Arabidopsis thaliana: one gene and its partners. The protein of the gene in region 2 purifies or fractionates together with the protein of the main gene of each other region. This does not show direct contact. Each region holds a gene or a part of one and is shown on either strand. Other genes may lie near its edges.

Region 1 (6,316 bases), on a different chromosome or scaffold from region 2:
TGGTCTATCACATATTCAAAATTTTCAGATTATTTAAATACAAACATCATGTGTTCAAATAAATGTAACAAAGTCGTGACTCAAAAGTCAAAGTCAAAACCTATATGCTCTCTCTGTATTATTTAGTACTTGTATTATTAAACGCGTTTTGGTTTTGGAAATATATAACATAATTCTCATTTTTTCTGTTTAGAGAAAAAACAAAGAATTTTAAAAATTGGTAAATTGTAATCGACAGATCTTCCAGGCCACTTTCCTTATCCCTTTCTCCTCCTAGTCCCACGGACCCTACCTTCCTCTTACATCATTTGGTAATGATCTTTCCCAAATTCATTTATTTTTATAGTTAGACATACTACATCAAGATTCATACTAATTACAGACTTATCAACTATACATTAATCAATATGAGATAATTTTTCTCTTTTCTTGAAGTAGTCCGCTAAAATTATAGTAATAAATACTAATATACCTATAGACATAGACAGATAATTGTAATATCCAAACAATTTTAAATAAGTTTGATGTTCTTTTGATCATAAATCTACCTTCATAATGAAACATCCTCCACCAGCATATCATAAATGGTTTTTTGACGTATATTGAAAAATTCACCATGTTGGTACGTAAATTTCCATTTTATTTTAATTGGTTATGAGATACACACAACCTTCTCAATGACAAGAATATATGGTTCTTCTATATATAAAGAATCTTTTTAATTGAGGATAAAGAACGCCGATTCAAGGATTATAGTAAGCTACTTAATAATTTGACTTCTGCACCGAAACAATATCAATCATTTTTTACAAAAATATAATGAAGAGATATAAATCTGTTTAACTTCTACCCTAATATTCATTTGTGGAGAAAGAAGGTAAAAAATTAAAGTAATGATTCATTTATTCAAGTTATTGAATACATTATGAAGACGAGGAAGACAAAAAGTCAGAATAATGTAAGTAAATTAGCATTAGGTCTTAAACTCTCGGCATTCCGCATTAACTTGATTCGGTGCATTTGGAGGAGGACCGACACAATACCACACGTGGCAAATTAATTTCCTTTTGCAGAAATAATTCAATGTCATGTAATTTCAAATTTTAAAAGTTTTGAAGACAAAAATCATCTCATGAGCCGAATTGATATGGACACTAGTACAGCAGCTTCCTTAGATTCCATCCAGACATAACTTTTGATTTCGATATAGGTCATCGCTATTGTACCAACTACTACGTATAAAAGAAATACTGCATCCTCATAATAAATCATAAAACTTTATAATAAACTAAACAAAAATAGAATTCATTTTTCTGTTTATTTATTGTAATATTCTTATGTGAAACTATTAATAAATTGAACAAAATACTTAAAGGAATTAGATTATATACGATATGTGAATACTGGTCATATTACTACGAAGGTAGTTTTCTTGAGAGTCTTTAACGTTGAATTCTCGTGACCTGGCAAATACATGAAAGTAACAATAAAACTTTTATATTTATTTTTATTAAATGAAGCAAAAAAGAAAAAGAAAAAAAAAAGGTTTTCTTTCGACGTGTGGTATTCTGTATCCATCTATATAACAGAGAGGACATCAATGGCTTTCTTTGAACTTGTAAACCTTACTCTCGAAGAGTCCTCTGTTACTCATTTTTACATTGTAAAAAAAAACTTCTTTTCTTCTCTACGTGAATAAGAATCTGAAGAGTCATTTTCTCAAGGTAAATCTTCTTCGTCTCTTTTCCTAAAAATGAAGTCTCTATTAGAATTTGTTTAAATGAAGTTTCTGTTATTATTTCTTTGATAGTTTCCAGTTCTTTCATATTGATCTACGAGTTAAAACTCAGATTTTCTTACTCAACCATAGCTTATTAGATATGTTTTGAAAACTAGATATGTTAATTGTGAGTCATTTCTTGGATTTAACCAAGTAACTATTAGTAGAGAAACAATTACGGTCATATAATCGTGATGGAAAAGATCTTGCAATGTTTTGATTTCAATCCTATTTTTGGCATTTTTTTTCTTCCAAGAAGTGGTTTAATTTTATTTTCCCCCAATTAGTTGGCGGTCCAATAATCCACTTACAACAAATTGCAATGTTTGGTTTCAACAAAATTGTTTTTGAATTTAAAATGATATAAGTCGTAATCTCATCATATGCATGGTTCTCATTTTGGCCCTCCCGACGCCATGAATTGCGGTCTGTTTAAGTTTGGTCTAGAAGGGTATTTTCGGATACACTCACATTTTAATTCATTCATTGTTCATAGAGCTACCATTGTACCATCTAAATAGCATTTAATACAAATATATAGGGACGAAAGATTACTAATTGAATATTGCAACTTATCCTTCTAATAGTTGTTCGTGTCTTCACTGATTATAACTATGAGTAAGTCGTTGTTCCTAATATGATTAATATTGAAGGGAATTTATTTATATATTTCGTATTTATAGTAATAATATTATAAATTATTTTTCGGTGGATTACATCAATCGAGGAAAATACTAATGCACACACATGGACTGGTCATTTTGTTTCCCCAACTTTTTGAATGGACCAATGGTGATATTTTCAATATAGAATATATTTTCTCAATTCATTAAGTTCTTACTTTGATACAGAAACAACAAAAGATAAGCTTTATATTAAAACCATGTGCAAGTTACACATAACACATGTACGATTACTTGAGATCCGAACACATCGCTTGATCTCAAAGCTTTTTGTTAGAGTCAATCCTCTACATTATTTGGGAGATAATTAACATTCTATTCGATTTTGTCATTATAGCCATAATAAATTATGTTTGGTTCGGACAAGTTCATTTTTACTAATTTGTGAGTTATAACTTTTTTTCTTTTGTTATAGAATGACGTGGCTAAAACAAATGTGGTCAAGCATTTTAGTGCTAGCCGTGGTGGTGATCGGAGCCAGAGCTGTGCCCATCACGTATCTTGAATCTGCAGTGGCTAAAGGAGCTGGTAGACAATAATTTTATTTTCAATTGCTTATTAGGAATCAGGTTCGAGAATGGATAGTATGAATAGATAGAAAAATCGAATTAATGATGAGGCTTTATAGTAAGAAAAATAGAGCCAACATTGGAAATGGTCTTGAGTCAAGTTTCTAAAAATCCAAAAAAATAAATTGTGTCTTCCAAATTTCAAAATGGTATTCAATATAAATGTTCATTATCTTGGATACTTCAGATTAATAAAACCTTTATCGGTGTTTACTCATGAGACTAACTTGGATTTTAAATTTGGTAGATAAAACCATTGTTATAACTAATTATCTACTATGTTTGACAAACAAAAAAAACTAATTACTGTATATATATTATATTTTCTGTAGTGTGTTTGGATGGTAGCGCGCCAGCATACCATTTCGATAAGGGATCGGGCTCAGGAGTGAACAATTGGATCGTTCATATGGAAGTTAGTATTATTTTTATTTTCTCATTTTATTAGATGTTATCATAAATAACTACGTACAAAATATAATGATATTAATTAAATATGTATATACTTATGTGAATACATTAGGGAGGAGGATGGTGCACTGATATAGCTACATGCGTTCAACGTAAAAGTACAATGAAGGGTTCTTCTAAGCTTATGAACAAAGACTTTGGTTTCTCCGGTATCTTGGGTGGCAAGCAAAGCACCAATCCAGGTTTTCAATTCTTTTTTATTTCTTTTCATTTTGTTCAGCGAATTTTTTATTTGTTTTCTTATGCAATGAGACTGAATCGGATTTTGGGTGTTTTGCAGACTTTTACAATTGGAATAGAATCAAAGTTCGGTATTGCGATGGTTCATCTTTCACCGGTGATATAGAAGCTGTTGATCCGGTAATTCACTTGACCATTACCGTTAAACTTAACTACTTGAAATGGGGACATGGATGATTTTTAATCATTTATATTGAATATCACATAACGATTTAGTTGAAGTTCCAAATTTTTAAGAGTGTAATTTGAATATTTTCAGACGCACAAGCTGTTCTTTCGCGGTGCTAGGGTTTGGCGTGCGGTGATCGATGATCTTATGGCTAAGGGAATGAGCAACGCTCAAAACGTATGAAAAATGATAATTTCAAATATGTTTCTCTAATTGTTAGTGAATTTTTGAAGTGTTGGAATTTAAAATGTTTGGTTACATGAATTTCAGGCTATACTCTCCGGTTGTTCAGCTGGAGCATTGGCTGCGATTCTACATTGCGACCAGTTCAAGTCCACTCTCCCTAAAACGGCTAAGGTCAAATGTGTTTCTGACGCTGGTTACTTCATCCACGGGTAACATTCATAATTTCTAGAGAGTCACACATACAATTGCTAGCATCCTAGATAACAAATAACAACCTTTGTTATTTTGTTGTTTGAACAGTAAGGATATCACTGGAGGATCTTACATCCAATCCTACTACGCCAAAGTCGTAGCGACCCACGTAGGATACATCTCTCTTTTCCTTGGCCATATTTCTCTAATATATCAGGTGTATCCCATCACGACTAATCTCGATCACTATTTACAGGGATCTGCAAAGAGTCTACCTGCTTCTTGCACCTCAAGTATGAAGCCTGATTTGGTAAATTTATCGAAAACATACTTGATATACAAGGCATAAATTTTTCCGAGTTCGTTATATTGTATAAACGCTTATGTTTATATTTTCACAGTGTTTCTTCCCTCAATACGTTGCTAAGACCTTACAAACACCGCTTTTCGTCATCAATGCCGCCTTCGATTCTTGGCAGGTTCGATTTTGTTTTTATGATTATTGTTTTCGGTAGAAATAATAACACTAGATATGATTTGGATTTAAAAATTTTATTCCTTTTTTTGCAGATCAAGAATGTATTGGCACCAACCTCTGTTGATAAAAGCAAAGCATGGAAGACTTGTAAGCTTGATCTTAAGAAGTGTACGGCCGCTCAGCTTCAAACCGTTCAAGGTATGTTTTACCTACCGGAACTAATGAACAAATTTGGTTAATATCTTCTAGACTAAACTGATTGGTTTATTATAATATTTCAGGATATAGAGACCAAGTGTTGGCTGCGTTGGCGCCTGTTCGATCCGCGACGACGAACGGATTGTTCTTGGACTCGTGCCATGCTCATTGCCAAGGTGGAAGCGCTGCCACTTGGTCCGGCGACAAAGGTCCCACAGTCGCGAATACGGTAATCACTTGATTTTCTTGTACAAAGTAAAAATAATATTGGAAAATACCACAAACTTTTGATCTAAGAAGGGTTTATAAAAATTTACAAATGGTTTCTATGACATTTAAGACTTTTTAGAATCTTTCATAAACCTGAAAATAAAACATAAATATGTAGTATATTTTTCATTATTGTTTTGGATTTGTTATTTTCAGAAAATGGCTAAGGCGGTTGGAGATTGGTTCTTTGAGAGGAGTACGTTTCAGAACGTAGATTGTTCATCGCTTAATTGCAACCCTACTTGCCCTGCAGTATCTACTGAAGACTAAAATTTATTCATTGATGTCTTAAAATTTATTCATCTTTGGAATATTGTTCTTGAAATTTAAAAGTAAAATAATATAATTGATACAATTTCATTCGAATAAATAAAATCCTTTGCCCTTCTACAATCGTTTAAGCTGTTATATATAATCAATCTCTCTTATTATTGGGTTCGCAATTTCTTAAATTCTTTTTAATAAAGAATCAATCTTATAAATTAAGGTTTTTTTAATATGTTTTTGAACATAAGCTACTAAGTTTGACTACATTTACAGAAGTTGCAATACAGAAACAAAGATGCTCATGAAACACACAACATCAATGGATTAACTTTCTTACAGATATGCTGGATCAAATTGGTATACAAGTTTACATCTTTTAAACTGTCACTTTTGTTTTCCATTGTAAGCTACGAAACAAAAAGCAAACACACAACAATATTGATTCAGTTGCAGGCAAAAACCGATGAATGTTCTTGGTCTCTTGTAGAATCAAAATCTTTCAGCATTATGTCTATAAGACTGTAATCAATGTTGTTCCGATGATGGATCATGTCTACAAATATCTCCTCGACACAGCGGACATACTCTGCTTCGCCATAAAAACATCATCAGATAATCTAGTACACACCAAAAAGGCGGAAAATTAGTTGTCACCAAACTTCACATTATATATCACATTCATACCTGTGAATCTCCTTGAGCCATTTATCTACACAGGTTTTGTGGAATTCATGATGACAAGGAAGTGTCCTTATAGAGTCTGCTTCTTCATATTCCACAAGGCATATGTAACATCTGAGGTTCCAGGAAAAA
Region 2 (4,911 bases):
ATTTTCTTTTGTAAAGGTAAAGAAATACTCCGTTTTATTCTCACGTGATTTTTTTATCGTAGGTACATTTAATACAACTCCAAGTTATGACTGGGAATATATAAGGAAAAAAAAAAAAGAGAGCGTAATCTCCATTGGTGAGATATTTCAAAAAGTTTCTAAAAAAAATAAATAATGATATTTTATTATGATTTAACTTCTGTCCAATTATAAACACACATATACACATAGTCTCTTAATCATTATTCTAAAGTTTCTCTGCAGAGAAACTATTCTCAATCTCTCTTCTACTTTATTATCATTTTATATTTTTTAGTTAATGAGAAACTATATGAGAGACTACTGATGGAGATGCTCTAATTTCCGACTACTCCTACTATGTTTGGGACTCTTCCCATTGTACAGTGTTAAGGTCAAGGTCTGATACTAACATAAATTTAGAAGTGGCGTACACGCAAACTAGTGGGATTAAAAAAAAAGAGTATTAAAGATTTAAGAAAGAGTATTATATATTTAGTCAAATGGGTTATTATATACTAAATAGGAAACAAATTAAATTATGCAAACCGCACTTAAAAAGTTTTTTTATGTATAAGTTACTTCATTATCTAGACTCTTGAGTTATCCGATCCATTGATATTAATAAACACTGAAAGAATTTGTTTCCATTAGTTTAAAAGGAATTAAGCTTTTTAAGTGCATTTCACATTTTAAAAAATAGAAAAGAAGAAAGTAAAACAATGTTGTTTTTTAAGGGAATGTTGATCGGAAAAATAAAGTGAGTTTGTAAGCTTAAGACGTGTAACTTTTGAGTAAATTTCCGACGAGATATTCATTTTTGGCTTACATTTGTTAAATCGTGTAACTTTATTAAATTTTACATTTGTTATATTTTCGCTGCAACCACTTTTTTTCTTACAAAACGAGTGACTAAGTGGAGACTAAGAACAAGCAAAGCTACTTACAACTACATACAAGGGTCAAAATTTTCTTTGGTTCAATCCACACAACATGAAAACTCTATCAAATTATATCAAATATTTTAGTATAGAGGATATTGACATATCACATTCAACTCTTAAGAAACAAACAACAATGAAGATACTTTACACCATTAATTTTTTTAATAATTGATGGACAGCACTACATAGTGGAGAAGAGGCCAATGTGAGATATAACCCACCACATGGTAATGAGTATTGGGTAGTTTTGATACATTCCATAATATGCAACAATACATAATGCATTTATGTCGGTCTTCCACTTTCTACTCCTCACGTGAAACCTTTGATCTTTCTCTTTGAGAAAAAAAAAATTCAACTCAGTTTCTCGGATCTCTTAAACAATACCACTCCACACGTTCCTCTGCTATTTCCCTTATCGTTGTATAAATTGGATATTTATCAAAACTGTAACTATTTTGTTAGAATGAGAATCGGTTTTATCAATATACCGATTTTTTTTTTTTTTTGCTAAGAGTCAATATACCGATTAATCAGCTAGACTTCCAGTTTGACTTGATTACCATTCGATAATGAGTCTAAAAATTACAACACCTTGGGTAATGAGTTTTTGTGGATGGAGAGCAACGCGCATGTCGATAGAGAAGAGAGCCAATATTAGTGTGGACCCAAAAAACAGATAGAAACAACGAAAAAATAGGAGATGGAATACAGACTGTTCTCTCTACGATATACAAAACCCCACTCTTCATTTTTATATTCTTATTACTTTCTACACACTCATCGTATATCACTCACTATATAAACACACACTCACACATTCACTCTACAAACACTAGAAACCACAAAGACAAAATCAAGGTCTTAAACAATGAGATCCCATCTCTTGATTTTGTTAATCTCTCTCTTAATCTTGAAATCTGAATCCATAAACTGCAATGAAAAGAGCCATTCCTCAGATCTAAGAGTGTTCCACATTAACAGTCTATGTTCTCCATTCAAAACTTCTGTTTCATGGGCAGATACACTTCTTCAAGATAAGGCTCGTTTCCTATACTTGTCAAGCCTCGCTGGCGTTAGGAAATCATCAGTTCCAATCGCCTCTGGTCGGGCCATCGTTCAGAGCCCGACTTACATCGTGAGGGCTAACATCGGGACACCGGCTCAGCCCATGCTCGTGGCTCTTGACACTAGCAATGACGCTGCTTGGATTCCTTGTTCTGGCTGCGTTGGCTGTTCTTCCTCTGTTCTCTTTGACCCTTCCAAGTCAAGCTCCTCTCGTACTCTTCAATGCGAAGCTCCTCAGTGTAAACAGGTAACTAAATATTGCTTTATAGTTATACCCTCCGTATAAATTAGATATGTGCATGCATTCTCTGGATGGACTTGAAAAATGAAAACTATACTCAACGTAATTTTTTTGAATCATATCATACATTCATACTTAACGATACTTTTGTACTGAATAAACCGGGAAAATCGATATACAAAAAATACATTTAAATTATACTAACAAATAATTCGCATTTTTACTTTGTTCAAAACAAGATCTAATCAGAACATACATAAATGTTTCAAATCGAAAGAAAAAAAATGGTTAGTATTTGGACTTGATTATTTTTAACAAAACAAGAAATTTAAAACCAAAACCGAAATACGAACCGAATGTCAGGCGTAATGTGAATGCCTCTACGTCAATTTTTGGATCCATCTACACAAAAGATGTGAATGTGAACTTCGTTTTTGGCGTGTTATTACACCATGATCGAGAAGTCTAGTCACGGGTTTTGGACCTTTTGGTACCATGAGTCTAAGTCACGGGTATATTATTATTTATACAAGAAATTTATAAACAATCCAACTAGTAGAGCATATTTTACTGTTTGAACTTTGATCTATATATATACTTTGTCGTCATGCTAGTTAGGTTTTGCCTATAATACAAAAACGCCACTTACAACTGCAATTAAATAACGTAACACATCGTTAGTAGCGCAATTTAATAACCAGATCCAAGATGGATAAAACAATTCTTTATGGAAATACGTTGTTAAACTCAAAGAACAAAAAAAATTCTAAATATTAATCAATAAAGAGTTTTTTTTATTGCAGGCTCCAAATCCAAGTTGCACAGTAAGCAAATCATGTGGTTTCAACATGACCTACGGTGGTTCAACCATCGAAGCATATCTGACACAAGACACACTAACATTGGCCAGTGACGTCATCCCAAACTACACCTTTGGGTGCATCAACAAAGCTAGTGGAACATCGTTGCCAGCGCAAGGACTCATGGGCTTAGGTCGTGGTCCATTGTCTTTAATCTCACAGTCACAAAATCTTTATCAGTCTACATTCTCGTATTGCTTGCCTAATAGTAAGTCCAGCAATTTCTCCGGATCACTAAGATTGGGACCTAAGAACCAACCGATCCGGATCAAGACCACTCCATTGTTAAAGAACCCTAGAAGATCATCGCTTTACTATGTTAACTTGGTTGGGATTCGTGTCGGAAACAAAATTGTGGATATTCCTACAAGTGCACTCGCCTTTGATCCGGCCACCGGAGCCGGCACCATCTTTGACTCGGGTATGGACTTCTCAACCCTCCTTAATATTTTTTATTTTTCGCTTGAGAACTGAAAAGTCGTGCGATGGAAGTAACCTAATTGCTCTGCTCTCTCACACGTAACACGTGATATTTCTGGACTAAAAATGATTTTACAATCAAAACAAAAATGGCCAATCCAAATTTTCATATAAAAATTATATTTTAGAAAAGAAATTTGATTTTTAATTACAAAACACTTTTGAATGTACGCAGGGACGGTCTACACAAGGCTAGTCGAACCAGCTTACGTGGCGGTGAGAAACGAGTTCAGGAGACGTGTTAAGAACGCAAACGCAACTTCACTAGGAGGTTTCGACACATGCTACTCCGGCTCCGTCGTGTTCCCGTCGGTGACGTTTATGTTCGCCGGAATGAACGTGACTCTGCCTCCAGACAACCTTCTCATCCACAGCTCCGCAGGTAACCTCAGCTGCCTCGCCATGGCTGCAGCTCCGGTCAACGTTAACTCTGTCCTTAACGTCATCGCTAGTATGCAGCAACAGAACCACCGAGTTCTCATCGACGTTCCAAATTCCAGGCTCGGAATTTCCCGTGAAACTTGCACCTAAGTTTTATCGATTTGTATTTTTGTTTTCGGTCGATTTCGTAATGCGTTTTGAACTTTTGAATTTTGGAAACTATATAAGTTAATGATTTTTGTTAATTCTCAAACGATTGTAAAATCTTTCGTATGATTTTCTTTCGATGTTCTCTGTTCAAAAAGGATTGTACTCATGAATTTGCGGATGCAATAAGCCTGGAACAGAGGACCTTTATTATTTTAAATATATATATGTTCCAACTTCCAAGTATAATCATATGCATCAACTTCATGAGAAAGTACCAAAATGTCAACAAAAAATGATTATGCCTTGGAAGGCATTTTCATCACCCAAATGAGACTGAGAAGTTCTAAATGGCGCGTTAAAAATCTACGATGATAATCTTGTAGACCCCAAAATGTCCGATGTGCTGCCTTGAAGTTGCATAGTTCATCATACTCCACTAACGAGGAAACACATTCACTCTTACAACAAAACTTCTCTCATATAGGTAAGAAAAAAGGTGTGAAAATTAAAGACTTGTCCTAATATTTGGTACTTGTAATATTTGGATGACTTGATAATTAACCAAAGATTTTAGTGAACACTAACCCACAAAATTTCTGAATGTTTTGAAAGATATACACTTTCAATAAGTGAAAAAGGAACAACCCCGAATTAGTATCTTTGCGCAAACATGAGAGAAGAAAAAGAGTGGAACATAGAATGGGTGAGAGAGTGACAAGTGTAAACCCCACTTCCATTAGGTTCATTCCCATCTTTGCCAAATGGATTT
Region 3 (7,481 bases), on a different chromosome or scaffold from region 2:
AATTCTAAACCGAACGGTACAAAAAAAAGCAAACATTCTCCAAATTCTTGTCAAACAAAATGTCATTAGAATCAATGTTACATTGTGTTTTCATGATTCATTATTTCTTCTTAATTTGCAGACAATAGCAAAAGCTGTTGGAGATTGGGTTTATGACAGAACATTGTTTCAGAAGATAGATTGTCCTTACCCTTGTAACCCTACTTGCCACCACAGGGTTTTCACTCCTCTAGATGCTCCTCCAATTTAAGTGATTCTACCATATACAGTATAGATTTATTATTATTTTGAAAAGAAAATTTGCTTATAAATGATTCATTTGTTAGATACATATAGTGAAATATTCCTAGGGTTTAGCTATAGAAGATGAAAAAGAAAAAGAGTGTGATTAATTCTTGAGTGTTGAGAATAAGCAATAGGAGTAATTTTCTTCAGCACTTGTCTTGTGTGCTGTTTAAATTGCTCTGTTTCTCTTCTATTCTGATGTAAAATGCAAATTGTTACCTTTATCCTATCAAATAAAGTATAATTCTTTTCTCAGTTGTATCAATCTTTTTCATTCTGAATTAGTGAATTCATTATTTTGTGAATTGGTTGTTTGTTTGGCACCTGGTTATATACCACATTTTTTGTCTTTATTTTCAAATTCTTAAAAGATTTCCATATAATATGGATACAACACTTCGATGATCAGATCTCAGGTTTCTTCGGAGAGGTTCGGTGACTAAACGGTACTAAGAAAAAACTTTAATTCGACTCTGTTTACATGTTTGGGCCCTGTACACTTTTCTCCTTTTGGCCCAATCAAAAAAAAATGCAACTACTATTTATATTTTCAAAACATAACGTCATTATTGGTTTATTGGTTTGATCTTTTGGGAATGAGGAGATTATTTTTTTTTGAATGAAAATTTTTCTGAAAATAAATTTGATGTTTTGTGTTTGCTTTTTTGTAAATCTATTAGATATAGTTAGTTACTCAGTGAGCTTAAGTCTCCTTTTTCTATAATTGTTGTATACAAATTTAGTATTAATTGTCACAGTTTTGTGATTGAGGTCATCTCTTATGGCTTACACGTTGAGCTTCGTTATATAGTCGAGCCATTTTGTAAAGAAAATTTGAGAAATATAAATTTGTATTGCTACGAATCTTAACTTTTTTGTATTATTCATGTTTTATGTGAAACCCATATGCAATTATGCTATCTGTATTATTTTTCACCCGGTTTCGGATCGATCATTTTTCCGAGGAAATAGTGGAGAAAATCAATGAAAAGGAATTACACTTGAGATGTAACAATTATTCCTTTTATTTCGTAAAATTTAACGAATTCTAATTATATTTTAATTCTAGATCTTAATTACTCGTGTTATAATAAAAAGATCAAAAAGAGAAAGGTCTGAACTTTAAAATTTTGTTACTTTACGAAAAATCTCTAACATGTTTTGGCTGTTGCGCAGCTAACTCGATCGGTGTGCAGTGCACCGACACTTTTAGTCCTCGTGCCAAACCATACTTTTTATTTCTTATTTAATTGTGATTCATAGATTTTTGTTTTACAAAGATAACAAGCTAGGATGAATTATTATAACACGACTGTGAAAAGTTTAACAAAAGAAAGACGCATCTTATAAGATTGATGATAACTTTAAAAACTGAATATCTAAATGAATATGCATATAGAATCAGTATTCTCAAGGTCCGAGCATAATCTCATTTTATTTTTATCGATTGGTTAACATGAAAGAACCAATTTCGAAAACACATTGATAAAAAAAACAATTATACAACTTAGTTTCTTGACGTTGGATAACCTGGCGAATCTACTAACACATGTGCACGCTATGCCAGTCACAAGTATCTTATAAAAAGAAAAAAGAAAAAAGAAAACTTTATGCAAATTAAAGCAAAAGAGTAAATAAAAAAGCAAATTAAAAAGAAGAAAAAGTTTGATTTTTTATTTGCAACTTGTGGATATGTATCTATATGATGAAGAAGACATCAATGACTGGCTTCCATAAACTTTTAAAGCTCTCTCTTTCAGATTCCTCTCTATCCATTTCATTAACACCAAAACCTTTTTCTTCTCTCTAACCAAACAAGAAGAGGACTCCATTTTCGCAAGGTATGCTTCATTTGTATCGATCTTTTTATAGTTCTGCAAGTTTGATATGTACTCAGAATAAATTGAATATTTTGTTTTAGTCTTGTTAGTTAGAACTACAGTATATATTACTATTAGCCATTTAGGATTTCAAGAAGATTGCATATTAATATCAGATCATTAATGTGAATGACATCGAAGGTTACTTCGGGGAATTGATAATTTGAAACGATTCAACACATTTCTCTGCGATCCAACAAGTTGAATATGAATAAGGGGATGATATGATTTTTCTTACATAGTAAAAGTTGAGATGATGTGAAAGGGTATTTTTGGTATCTCAAGATACAAGCATCCCATAATAGCGATTAGCAATTTTTTTTTTTTTTTTTTTTTTTGTCAAACCGATTAGCAATGTTAAGTAATGAATTATGATAGATTTGTAATGATAATAATTGTTTAGTGCTCTACACTCTGAGCAAGGTTATAATTACAGACAACTAGAAAAGTTGGTCTGAGAAAAGCTATAAGATATTTAAAGACGCACATGGACGATGGATGTCTTTTTGTTTGTTTGTTTTGTTCTTGGCTAGTTATCACATTTGACATTTCTGATAATCTACTTTTGAATAGTCTAAATTTCCAATTTGTAATAACGTGGATTCGAGGAATCTTAAAACAATGGATTACATAATAGTATAATTATAAAAAATATTATCCACTCGAAAATGTAGGTAATTTCAAAATAAATAAATTTGTCAGTCCGCATGTTACCATATGAAAGCAGTAATTAATTCGCATTAGAAATGTACTATTATATTATTATTGAAATTAACCAAATCGTAAGCTTGTTTATTTATTTATTTTCCAAAAAATGATAGAATGGGGAGGCTTAAGCAATGTTGGTCAAGTCTGCTAGTATTGGCAGTGTTGGTGATCGGAACTGGAGCCGTTCCCATCACTTATCTCCAAAGCGCCGTCGCTAAAGGAGCCGGTAATATGCAACAACGGTTTACATAATACTTATATTCATATTTACACAATTTATCGGATAATTCAATAAGTTTTTGAGAACATATATATATATATATATATATATATATGTTTATTATGTAGTGTGTTTGGATGGGAGTGCACCAGCTTACCATTTTGACAAAGGGTTTGGTTCGGGTGTTAACAATTGGATCGTCCACATGGAGGTAAAGAAACTTGTTTTTTGTTGCAAATTTCTGGACCACTTGATATATTTTTTTGTCGTTGAAATGACTGTACATATAAATCGAGTTCTTTTTTTTTTTTTTTTAATATATATAAATCGTAGTTCTTTATAGTTGTGTGATTAGTTAAAACTTAAAAACATTGCGGCGTTTATCGTTAGCATCTTATGTTTTTTTTTTAATAATTATTTTACTGAAAAGAAATGTAACATAAAAATAAGGTAGAATTAGTTGAATAAAATTTGAATGAAGTGTATATGTTGTTTATATGTTAGGGAGGAGGATGGTGTACCGACGTTGCTTCATGTAATGAACGTAAGGGTACAATGAAGGGTTCTTCCAAATTCATGAACAAAGACTTTGGATTTTCCGGTATCTTGGGTGGCAAGCAAAGCACTAACCCAGGTATATTACTGTTTTTTTTTTTGTTTCTAATGATCCAGAGGTTTGTGGGAGAGTTATGATCAATTAATGCTGTTGAATCTATCTTGATTTTCATAAAAAAAAAATGATTTTCTTTTGCTCAGATTTCTACAATTGGAACAGAATCAAAGTACGATATTGTGACGGATCATCCTTTACCGGCAATGTAGAAGCCGTTAATCCGGTAATTTAGTGACTAAATTGTGATATTTCATAAATATTATTTTTAGTCAAAACATTCACATTTTTCTTGAAGTACTATAAATTCTTGCAGTCAAAATTGTATGATTTATATATAGTCGGAACCTTGAATAATTTCAGGCAAACAAGCTGTTCTTCCGCGGTGCCCGAGTTTGGCGTGCGGTGGTTGATGATCTTATGGCTAAAGGAATGAAAAACGCTCAAAACGTATATTATATGTGCATATTTCGACATCTCTCTTTCTTTAATGTGTATCACTTAAAAAAAATTAACATCTTATAAAACTTTTCAGGCTATACTCTCCGGTTGTTCAGCTGGAGCATTGGCTGCGATTCTTCATTGTGACACTTTCCGTGCCATACTTCCCCGAACAGCTAGCGTCAAATGTGTTTCTGATGCCGGTTACTTTATCCACGGGTACGTGTACATACTCTTAGGCGTTGGCCAAAAAAGTATATGGAACCAAACCGAAAGTCTAAACTAAATTACTAAACCCAACCTAAACTGATAACAACCAAAATAAACAAACCGGTTTTATTTGATGTCAACAGTGATTATTATCACTGAATTCGATTTTATGAAACAGTAAAGATATCACAGGAGGATCATACATTCAATCATATTACAGCAAAGTCGTCGCACTCCACGTATTACTCTTTATCTAATATATCTCTCAATTGCTAATTCTCTTCAACCATGAGGTGAATCCTAAAGTCAGTGTTGCTTAATATCTTTTTGTAGGGATCTGCAAAGAGTCTTCCTGTTTCTTGTACCTCAAAAATGAAACCAGAACTCGTACGTGCTTAACTAAACATACCAACATCGTTGATCTTGACACTTTTTTCCATCTATATATGGACCGATATCAAAGACTTCTCCGATCGTTTTTTGCAGTGTTTCTTCCCGCAATACGTCGTTCCTTCCATGCGAACACCGCTCTTTGTCATCAATGCCGCTTTTGATTCTTGGCAGGTCATATACTAACCATGATATACTTATATACATAAACATTCATTTCATTATAAAATATACACAAATCGGATACATATAAACTGAATTTGGTGATTTTTTCAGATCAAGAACGTTTTGGCTCCAACTGCTGTTGATAAGGGAAAAGAGTGGAAGAATTGTAAGCTTGATCTTAAGAAATGTAGTGCCGCTCAGCTCAAAACCGTCCAAGGTAATTCCATAATTGTTCCGGTTTATATTGGTTTGGTTTTGAATACGATCAGTTCGGTTTATCGAGATTTAAATTTAAACCGGGTTGGTTAAAACATTTCAGGGTTTAGAGATCAGATGATGCGAGCATTGTCACCGGTTCACAGTACACCGTCTAGAGGATTGTTCTTAGACTCGTGTCACGCTCATTGCCAAGGAGGAAGCGCCGCCTCTTGGTCCGGTGACAAAGGTCCCCAAGTCGCCAATACGGTAAAATTCAATCCTCCAATACTTTTAAAATCTTTTCAATTCGATTTTAGTTCTGATTTTGATTATTTGTTTTTGCAGAGAATTGCGAAAGCAGTCGGAAACTGGTTTTATGGCCGGAGTGCATTTCAGAAGATAGATTGTCCGTCGCCGACTTGTAATCCTACTTGTCCTGCTATCTCTACTGAAGACTAGAATCATCTCTAAATGTTCAATTTTTTTTAATTTGAAATTGAAAGAGCTCGCAAACATTTTGGATTTGTTTTCCAAATCGGATCAATAATAATCACTGCAATTTGAATAAAGAGTATATCTTTACTTTGTATTATAATCGAGTTTACCTATAAAGTTTTTAACTTTTTATACGAATCCAGAGAGAAAGAGAGAGACTGTGTACTACTCGGTGCTCTGCTTCTCTCATTTTGTAGTGAAGTGAAGAACCCTAAAAATCATTGCTTTATTAAAAAGCATCGATGGATTCGGCGTTTGTGGACAGAGCTTGGGACAAATGGGTTACTACGGGTAACGTTGGTTCTTCAGGTAAGTTCTCTCTGGATTAGGGTTATTGTTTTATTCTTCTTCTTGTTTGGGAGATTTTGAAAAGAAGATGAAGAACCCAGAAAGAAAGAATAAGATGCTTCTTTTCGGTGATTTGATTGTTGGAATTTGTTCAGGTAATCCATTGAAGGCTGCTATTTTGATTAACTATGATCCTACAGGACCTTCTCGTCTCTTATCAACAATGTAAGCTAATTCATCAAGTTTCAATATCTACTGCTCTCTGTTTCTACTTAAAGGTTGTTCTTTTAGATTGGTTATTTGCAGTAAAAGATCGAAACTTTGATGTATGCTTAATTTTGAGTTATTGGCAGAGCTAAACAAGAAGGGATTGATATCTATCCAGTTGATCTAAAGCAATTTATAGATTTCATGAGATGTGGCAATCTTCCTACTGAGACTTTTGTTCTTGGATCCAACCAATGTAAAAGTTTGTTTGTTTGGTTTTATTTCTTTTGCTTGGAGAGTATGATTTGTGGTTTAATAATATGATTTGGAATCTGCAGACATAATAACATCTATTCATGAGAACTGGTTCGCTGCTAGGTGTTTAAACACTTCCCAGCCTGCTGGTGAAGGAGCTATTGTTATGCAGACTGCGGTTTACGTGTTGGTTGCTCTGTGAGTGCACTGAATACTTTGCTCAAGTGCATATCTTACTCTTACATTTTCAGTTCAAAAATAAGATGGTTATGATTTGCAGATATGATGGATCAATTGGTTCAGCTTCTCAAGCTATGGCTGCAGCTGATCAGTTTGCATCGCAGCTGAGTCGGAAAAACTTCTAGCATCATCATTTGCGAAATCACGAGTATTTACATTGTTCTCTGTTATCAATGTAAACAAGCTTTGACTATGTTTTGTGAAGGATCTTTGTGTTTCGATAACTGGTTTTTCATTTTATCTCATCTTAATCAATTGGTTTTTGAACAAGTCATATCAGCATGTACAGTCGTTTTGATTCAGTTCCAGTCCTGAATGCTTGTTGGATTTCCTTTATCAGAAAGCGGTGTCATCGGTGTTGTTTTGGGTAGTGGGGATCATGTTTGGGACATAGTGGACACACCCTGCAATTACCATTCATAGCAAGTGAGAGTCCCTTTCAGAACCATTATGTTGTGTGAGAACAGATCATCATCAATATGATTAGACTAGAGATTGCTGATCAAGAACCTAAATAAGAACATAAGTATACCCTCTTAGAGACGCATACATAGCGAATAAGGCAGTCAATATGATTCAGCCGAAGTAGTGAGATCTCTCTATCTTATTCTTCTTGCTGATATGGTCAAGGACTAAATGTGAAATCGAGAATGAAGAAATTATTGTTTGAACTTCTTAAAAGAAATTTATTTTTGTTTGAATTTTAATTAATATCCAAACTAATTATGTACTTTATAAGAGGGAGTAATAATGAAGTTAAGATATTTTCTTTGCCAAAAATAAGAAAGAGAAAAATCCAAAAAAGAAGAAACAAGATTAGATGCCCTGACTTGTAACCATAAGTTTCTTCTATACAGTACATGGAGGTTGGGTTTGTGCTTGAAAGTGA

The links.
Region 1: the proteins of AT3G54400 (region 2) and AT5G45280 fractionate together in Arabidopsis thaliana (co-fractionation; one large-scale study listed by BioGRID). This does not show direct contact.
Region 3: the proteins of AT3G54400 (region 2) and AT4G19410 fractionate together in Arabidopsis thaliana (co-fractionation; one large-scale study listed by BioGRID). This does not show direct contact.

What each region holds. Positions count from the first base shown.
Region 1 is NC_003076.8:18,343,983-18,350,298, forward strand, and holds AT5G45280 (Pectinacetylesterase family protein), read left to right. Parts: upstream 1-1,551; 5' UTR 1,552-1,724; intron 1,725-2,878; 5' UTR 2,879-2,879; coding exon 2,880-2,991; intron 2,992-3,364; coding exon 3,365-3,447; intron 3,448-3,555; coding exon 3,556-3,685; intron 3,686-3,783; coding exon 3,784-3,863; intron 3,864-4,002; coding exon 4,003-4,089; intron 4,090-4,182; coding exon 4,183-4,307; intron 4,308-4,398; coding exon 4,399-4,459; intron 4,460-4,546; coding exon 4,547-4,600; intron 4,601-4,691; coding exon 4,692-4,769; intron 4,770-4,860; coding exon 4,861-4,966; intron 4,967-5,049; coding exon 5,050-5,195; intron 5,196-5,392; coding exon 5,393-5,506; 3' UTR 5,507-5,713; downstream 5,714-6,316. Other genes in the region: AT5G45290 (RING/U-box superfamily protein), read right to left, coding at 6,029-6,092, 6,188-6,298. UniProt on the Arabidopsis thaliana protein: Hydrolyzes acetyl esters in homogalacturonan regions of pectin. In type I primary cell wall, galacturonic acid residues of pectin can be acetylated at the O-2 and O-3 positions.
Region 2 is NC_003074.8:20,139,522-20,144,432, reverse strand, and holds AT3G54400 (Eukaryotic aspartyl protease family protein), read left to right. Parts: upstream 1-1,669; 5' UTR 1,670-1,833; coding exon 1,834-2,277; intron 2,278-3,074; coding exon 3,075-3,552; intron 3,553-3,786; coding exon 3,787-4,142; 3' UTR 4,143-4,408; downstream 4,409-4,911.
Region 3 is NC_003075.7:10,580,273-10,587,753, reverse strand, and holds AT4G19410 (Pectinacetylesterase family protein), read left to right. Parts: upstream 1-1,892; 5' UTR 1,893-2,126; intron 2,127-2,986; 5' UTR 2,987-2,987; coding exon 2,988-3,099; intron 3,100-3,221; coding exon 3,222-3,304; intron 3,305-3,597; coding exon 3,598-3,727; intron 3,728-3,849; coding exon 3,850-3,929; intron 3,930-4,066; coding exon 4,067-4,153; intron 4,154-4,238; coding exon 4,239-4,363; intron 4,364-4,532; coding exon 4,533-4,593; intron 4,594-4,687; coding exon 4,688-4,741; intron 4,742-4,840; coding exon 4,841-4,918; intron 4,919-5,020; coding exon 5,021-5,126; intron 5,127-5,228; coding exon 5,229-5,374; intron 5,375-5,452; coding exon 5,453-5,492; coding exon of another isoform or gene 5,493-5,566; exon of another isoform or gene 5,567-5,733; intron 5,734-5,764; exon of another isoform or gene 5,765-5,839; coding exon 5,840-5,911; intron 5,912-6,045; coding exon 6,046-6,115; intron 6,116-6,243; coding exon 6,244-6,353; intron 6,354-6,435; coding exon 6,436-6,550; intron 6,551-6,632; coding exon 6,633-6,717; and 2 more. Other genes in the region: AT4G19420 (Pectinacetylesterase family protein), read left to right, coding at 1-250; AT4G19400 (Profilin family protein), read left to right, coding at 5,845-5,911, 6,046-6,115, 6,244-6,353, 6,436-6,550, 6,633-6,717. UniProt on the Arabidopsis thaliana protein: Hydrolyzes acetyl esters in homogalacturonan regions of pectin. In type I primary cell wall, galacturonic acid residues of pectin can be acetylated at the O-2 and O-3 positions.